2 linked regions of the Rattus norvegicus genome follow. The protein of the gene in region 2 interacts with the protein of the main gene of each other region in a pairwise test. Links are inferred from orthologs where the notes say so. Each region holds a gene or a part of one and is shown on either strand. Other genes may lie near its edges.

Evidence for each region.
Region 1: the proteins of Cdr2 (region 2) and Kansl1 interact in binary tests that used the Homo sapiens proteins (3 or more experiments, as listed by UniProt). The two-hybrid records come from large-scale screens. The link is inferred for Rattus norvegicus from reciprocal best matches to the Homo sapiens genes CDR2 and KANSL1.

The regions. Positions count from the first base shown.
Region 1 is NC_086028.1:89,866,193-89,869,940, forward strand, and holds the start of Kansl1 (KAT8 regulatory NSL complex subunit 1), read right to left. Parts: upstream 2,429-3,748; 5' UTR 2,403-2,428; intron 1,228-2,402; exon of another isoform or gene 718-1,227; 5' UTR 603-717; intron 1-602. UniProt on the Homo sapiens protein: Non-catalytic component of the NSL histone acetyltransferase complex, a multiprotein complex that mediates histone H4 acetylation at 'Lys-5'- and 'Lys-8' (H4K5ac and H4K8ac) at transcription start sites and promotes transcription initiation.
Region 2 is NC_086019.1:184,956,214-184,959,961, forward strand, and holds the start of Cdr2 (cerebellar degeneration-related protein 2), read right to left. Parts: upstream 2,824-3,748; 5' UTR 2,746-2,823; coding exon 2,670-2,745; intron 1-2,669. Other genes in the region: Mfsd13b (transmembrane protein 180), read left to right, coding at 3,439-3,592.

The DNA of each region.
Region 1 (3,748 bases), on a different chromosome or scaffold from region 2:
GAGCAGCAGGGCATTTGAAGAATAAACACATATACTGCGTGAAATGTCAGAGCAATCAAATGGTTAATGACACATCTTTTGTAACACATGAATCAGCTACTGATTTGCAAAAGTGGGACACGCCCAAGTTCATATGACTCTGAAGTACCAGTTTGAAAATGGACCTCAAGGTCTGAATTGGCAACACATCTACCAGGTGGAACATAATTTCACAAGATGTAAGCTATAATAAGTAAAAACTGGAACCCATCCTTATAGAGTTAATTTAAGAACTTCACTAATGTCTGAACAGCAGCAATCAAGAACAGCAATAACAAATCCTAAGAACCTAATGGTTCTAAGGATGGGTATCCTGAAGAGCCACAGGTTCAAGAACATTCTAGGTAGATCTAGACCTAGTAGCAAACACCTATAATCCTAGCATTTGGAACGTAGAGGCAGCAAATACATGAAGTTAAGGCCATGCTCAGCAAACTACAAAGTTCCAGAGCAGCCTGGACTCTGAAACCCTGACTCAAAACACACGGGAACAAGTATTCTTGATTCTAAAATACATATATGAAATAACAAAATAAAAATAACGAAAAGCAAATATATCTTACCTTAAGAGGCATCCAAATAGCATACATAGTGTCAGGAATAGTTCAGACAACTCAGAAATAAGCAGGAAGAGACTAAGTAATTCCCCAGTTACCACGGATAAGGAATTAAGGAGATCTGAAAAGGAAGAATTTTTTTCACTTAGATGGAAAAAATAGCATATGTAAATAGCTTAATCTATCTGGGAAAGGCATTCAATACTAGTTGCTTAAAAAGTGTACAAGTGCTGGGCGTGGTGCACTTTAGTCCTAGCACTCAGAGGAGACTGAAGCAGGCTGTTATCTACCAGTTCAACACCAGCCTGGTAGACACAGTGAGTTCTGGGCCAGGTGAGAGCTACTTATTGAGATGGTCTCAAAACCCCCCAAGAAGGAAAAAGATACAATATAAAATTCCCTTTGTAAAGGGCATATGTTTATCTCTGTGTGTGTGTGTAGAAATATATTTTATATCAAAGAACAACGTAAATCTTAAGTAACTGAAAATTACTTATCAAAGGTTCAGAAAACTAAAATCCTAAAGGAAAAGTTATTACTACCAGAGTATTTCATAAACACTACTGAAAATAATTTATTAACTATCTAAAAAGATGTACAACTATTTTATTTGGTAAACAAACAAAAAAAAAAAAACTTCTGACAATTCCAGTTTTTAACTTTTCTTAAAATTGTTTCAGAGCTGAAACTACATTAAAAAAGTAAGTAGCATCTATTCCTCACCGAAGTACAAGCAAAAAAGAAAAGACCATTCTTTTCCAGAGATTTTTAAAAGCAGACCAGAGGAATTAATTTTGAAGATGGAGGGTGTTAAGTTTGCAGGGACTCAGAAGAATGGACTAAATGACTCCTTCTAGGAGCCTATGTCCTAGGCCTGAATGAAAATTCCAGCTTAACCAGTTACTGCTTCACTTAAAATGGAGGCTTGCCCGAGTAGGAACACAAAAATAACACACTCACCTCTTTAAAAATAATTTCTTAAAATCAGAGTCGATGTCCCCGTTTTAAAAATAAAGCTCTGGAGTGGGTTTGCTGTCTCCACGTTTGTCACTTCGGTTAGGGACACTTGGCATCACTTTGCCTAGCGCTCATTGGATTTTGGGGGGTGGGGACGGGAGTTTGACTCTTGACCCGACTCTCAGGCGAGCCTGGGCACCCCCACACACTACCCCGCGACGCGACCCCAGCTCTACAGGACCCCAGCTCTACAGGACCGCGGGGCCGAGATCCCAGCGAGCTCGAGTCCGCGCCCCTCCCCCGCCTCGGACCCTCGTCCGGGAGCCTCTCCCATCCCCCGCGGCCCACGACTCCTCCGGCCCGGTCCCCATTGTTAGGAGGGGGGCGGCCGTGGCTGGGGCTCGCGGCCCGGGGCCCGTGGCTGTTGACCGACTCGCCTCAGGAGGGGGCGGCCCGCGGGATGCCGCTTCCCGTCCTGCCACGGTCCGTCCCACCTCGCTCGGCCTGGCGCCCCCGGCTGTGCTCGGTGCCCCCCTCCCGGGCCCTGTGGCCACTCGTCGCCCGGCACGCCGCGGTCCACGGCCGGAGGCCGAGGCCTTGAGGGTGGGCGCCGGCCGAGGGTCCCCGCGCCCCACACACGCGTCCCCGCGTCCTCAGACCGGCCGCCTTCAGGGCCCTCCGCGGCGCCGGCTCCCGCGACCCCTCAACCTCCCGCCGCCCCGCGACGGCGCCCCCCACGGCGTCCTCCGGCCCAGACACGCCACCCTGCACCACCATCACCCCGACCCGCCGCGCCCCCACCCCCCGGGGCAGCAGTGCCAACGGCAGCTCCCCCGGCCCCAGACCTACCTGCACGGCTCAACCAAGCCTAGAGTGGGGGGCGGGCAAGCTTCCGCCCTCCTCTGTCTCCCATTGGCCCGCCGAGGGCAATTCGCGAGCACCATTGGCTAAGAGTGGACGTCCGTCAGAGCTATGGGGCGGGATGGGGAGGGGGGGAGAGATGCTGGTGCCTTGGCGTCTCTGTCTCTGTATCTCTCTGTCTCTGTCTCGGCCCTAGGAAAGGAGAGGCTTGAGCTGGACGGAGCTGGAGGGCGGCCTGGTGGGAGAAATAAGAATAGGAATCCCTACAGTGCTTCACAGCAGTCCACCACTCAACCCCTGGCCTCAGTCCCTCAGGTCCCCTTCTCTGTCACCCCCAACCCCTGCCCCTCACCTCACCCTTCCAGGTTCTTCATCCAGGAAGCGATGTGATGAGAACCCGGCCCGGAAGGCCATAGGGAGAGATTTTGTATATGTACATAAAATATACACATATATAAATGTTTGTTTTTAAAGTCAACCAGATTTGAGGTCCTGAGGGCCTGGAAAGGCCATACATCTCACAGACCAGGAAGGAATTGAGAGAAAGCTGAGTCAAAAATCACTCTCAGAGGTGTTAACAGTGGTTGCCTCCTGGATGACATGGAGTTCTCAGCAGACCAAGGAAGAGGAATACTTAATCTCTCAGGCACATCCTTTGTAGATACTGATTTTTGTGCCATCCACAAACATTACAGCTAAAATAATATTAATTATCATAGCATGATCCATATGCTTGTGATTATAGCACAAGAAACTCATGCAGAAAATTATTAAGTGCAAAAGCCAGCCTGGGCTACAAAGAGACTATTTCAAAAAAAAAAAAAAAAGAAAGAAAAGAAAAAATATTTTGAATCCAAATATTTTGAAACAAAATGGTTATCTAAGAAAACCAGGACAGCATTCACATGTACTGGGGAGTCTTACCTTTTAGTTTGTTTTAAATACCAGTAATAAGTGTGTTCTGAGGAATTCCAAAACACTGGGGAGACTAAACAATCCACAAATGAGGAGTCAACATACTGAACGATCAACTTTCTCAAATCGGAAAACAAAACAAAACAAAACAAAAAACCAGCTAAAATAATGGCAAAACAGCACGAAGGCAGAGGAGCAAGAATACTAAAACTATGAGAGATCCTTAGGTCTTGAGGCTACACTTAGAGAACTGTTTTTAGGCCATAGTAGACATGTGACAGTAAGAACTAAAAAGAAAATACCCATAAGCCAGAAATCTTAACTTTTTCAGTCTTATTGACACATAAGGATTCTCCCAGAATTTTTTTCATCGTATCAAATGCATTTAGGAAACCTGAGGACACAGACCAGATTCACTG
Region 2 (3,748 bases):
GGAGAAACAAGAGAAGGGACTCCCACAAGTCTTCCTCTGACTTCCACATACACTCTGGCTGGTTGCGTGTCAATATGACACACAGTATAGTACTATCATCAGAGAGAGAGAGACAAAATTGAGAAATAACTCCACAAGATTGGATTGTACATAAGCCTGTAGGGTTTTTTCCTTAATTAGTGACTGGTGTGGGAGGGCCCAGCCTATTGTAAATATTTTTGTAAAGCATTTTAGGCCATGTATCCAATATGAATCTACTACATAAGTTAATAAAGGTCATGCAGAACACATGATAAACGACTAGAGTTCCTTAATCTGCACAGAGAAAGAGCTGTTCCCAAACTACTTAGCAGCAAATGCCAAGGGTGTACATTTACTAGCATCTCCAGATGTCTCTGGTGAGTAGATTCATGAACAGCACACAGAGTGAGAGCCCTTCCTCTCTAATAGCTGGCTACAGCAAGTGGTGTCACTGCCTACATTAATACCTAGGTTAGAAAAAACAGTATGCTCTTGAGAAACAATTGTAAACTCTGTTCAAAGGTAGATCTAAGCTGGCTCTGTGGTACACTGCTTACCTACCATGCATTGAGGCCCTGGCCTCAATCCCAGCACACCATATACGCAAAACTGTTTAACATATAAGGCAGCAAAATTGGGGGAACAGATGCTCAAATGAGCAGCCGTCATTCTTTCAGGGGCATATTAATGAGCTAACAGGATTTCATATCTTCCATTTGTACTTTATATGTTTATGATACGGAAGCCATGGCAAAGTCCACTGTGATAACAGATGTAAAAACCTTTGGAAAGTACACAAGAAACCCCAAATGCAAATCAGTAGTAAATTAGCCCAGAGGTTAGGGTTTGTTCAGACTTGTGACACCTTCATCTAGATCAGAAGTTAAGAATTCCACAAACAGCCCCAAACATATTTTGTTTACCACTCAGTAGACTGAGATACTACAACTGTCTGTTCCTGATAACCTCCTGTGGAGGGGGATTTGGCTGATGGGTGGACCAGGGCACTGGAGAGCTGTTGTGTGACAGCTTCAGTTCAGGCCAACAAATACTAAATTAAGTTTCTATTATGATGTGTTATATATGATGTTAGATATGGGAGACCGGTCTGTTCTTGAAGGTTTTGCATTCTTCTTTAATATGGTAAAGAAGAATCTCTTGCTTGGGTTATAGGAACTGCTTTCATATAATAAAATGTTGCAATCTCACCGTGGTTGCTTCAGTCCTCAAGTATCAAAGCAGGTCATCAATCCTTACGGGACCAGTGTGAAGTAGGCTAAATGTCTAACAAACTTGTCTTCTGGACACAGAGAAATGTGACAGCGAACTGGCACTGTAGCTGCTAGGCAGCTTCAATTATAGTAGTACAGGATCTGTTTGGGCTTAGGTCATTTGCACATTAAGAAATCAAGACAGACAGAAACTTTAAAAAAAAAAAAGCAAATTACCACCTCTCCAAAAAGCTACCTGTTTTCCTTTTCTACTTTCTAAGTACGGGTCATTCAAGCTCAAAACTACCCCCGTCCCCCACCGCCCCTGTCAGATTCACTGGTGTTTAACAGCCAACTCAAAAAGATATTAATTTTCACGAAAAGTTTGGAGTGGGAATAATTACACAGAATAGCACAAGCAGGATGCTTGAAAGGATTCCCGAGGACCCCTCTGTATGGTGGTTAAGAATGTCTACTCTGGAGTCTACAGTGAATACCTAGTCTCCCCGACAATATCCACTTCAGCCTGAGGTAACTATTGCAGCACCTGGTGCTATTGGGGGAATTAAAGGAGTCTAGCAGGGTGTTAAGGGTTTATCGGTGTCCTCAAACACAAAATCCTACTATGAATGTGGAAGAAAATGGGCCACTGGATTCAGACTGGGGACACTCTTGACATTGTCTCTGGAGATGTCCAAGGAAGGATTATTTTTCATTGAAAATCCGAATGCAAAGATAAGGACATGATAGAGCTGCCCTCAAATAATTTCATCTAGCCTCTGATGAATGATGGCTAAGTAATAAATTAAAACACACACACAGAGTTTAACACTGGGTAGGTTATAAATTGGGATGCTAAGATCTGAAGTGTCTACAGACTCCTCATTTCAAGTGTGTGTGGCATCAAAAATACTCGCTCCCATATTCGGCTTTGGGGAATCCACTTAAATCTTTTAGCTTCTGCTTTCTGGAAAACGGGATAACAAAAAATTATTCCCACAGAGTGATGGCGCGGGTACCGCACAGCAGTACTGCCCCCCCACCACCTGCAGCGGCTTGCAGAGTCTGCGGACCATGAAAGGCGAAGTGGGGCGGGCAGGGCAGCACGACCCGGAGCCAGGTCAGCAGCTCACTTCTAGAGCAAGTCAAGCTGGTTCACCCCTGCCCACCTCAGAAGTCCACTAAGGGGATGGATCCGCTCATCCTCCGCAAGCGCTTTCTTAAAGCGCCAAGCATCAGCCAGGGTGGCGCATCCGCAGGGCCGTGGGCCGCGCGCGCTTATTCTCTGAGGTCGGGATGGGCGGATCCGTTGCCAGGTGAGCGCGAGAAGCCCCTGGCCGCGCATCCCAAACCTCCAGCCTAAGGAACTTTCTAGCACTTTCCACACCTGCCACCCCCGGATTCCCACCCCCAACCTCCCAGCGACCTCGCCCTCACCTTGCTGGAGGTCCCGGTGGTCATACCAGGGCTCATCCTCTATCTCGAACTCCTCCACAAGGTTATCTGCCAGCATGTCGCCGGGGACGTCCGGGGGCAGCGGGCTTTGCCGCCGCCCTGCCGTTTCGGCCGCTGCCCCGGGCTCTCCCCCGACCCCGCCACCCTCAGCCAGAGCCACCCTCGGGCGGGACGCGCCGGTCCCGCTGCAGCTCCCGCCGCCGTCCCGCGCCGCCCAACGGCCCGCGCCCTAGCGAGCGCGCCCCGGGTGGCGCCGGGAGCCGGCTCCTCAAGCCCGCTGCCCGGCCCAACGTGGCACTTTGGCAGAACCCTCCCAAGCCGGGGAGACGATTCAAACCCGGGAGGCGCCTTGACCAATCACGAATGAGCCGCTTGTAGAGTGACAGCGACCTCAGCCAATAGAATATCAAAAAAGGTCGCGGGTCCGCGGACCATCAGCCAATAAAGGCTTAGGAAGGAACAAAGGAGGCGGGGAGGCGAAGAGGGTGCGGTCGGCAGCTCCTCCTCTTTTGTCTGCGTCGCGTCTCCTCAGTTGAGTGCACTCCAGTTCCGGAGTGTGGAGGAGGTTTCAAGCCGATCCAGTGTGCCGAGGACTACGGATTCTGGGCACCGGGCATCCTCTTCCCACACGAGGGTTTCAGATGCGGGTCAACTCTTCTCCGCCCTGTCCTCGGTGGTGCGCGGAGGGAGACTCAGGGTCCGTTGCGAGGTTAAAGGCGAGAGAACGCTACTGAGAGAAAGCTGCTCCTCAATGTCGGAGCCCTTGGCCTCCCAGGAGCATGGACGTGAACTCCTAAAGGGCAATCACCAGCCCCACCTCATACTTGGAGTCTGGGGCTGGCCAGTCAAAGCCGCCTCCCCTGAGAAAAGTTACCACAGTTTTAAAAGCATAGAATTTCTTAAAGGTTCGTAGAGTGTAAGATAAACACCTAGGAGCAGGCCTTGTACTTGGTGGCCAGCTTGCCAGAGTCAGCTTGTTGACGCAGTCTTCACCACTGTTTCTTGGGTTAGACTTTTAGCATATTTGGGTACCTCACATTGGGAAACTCTCAGACGGAGAA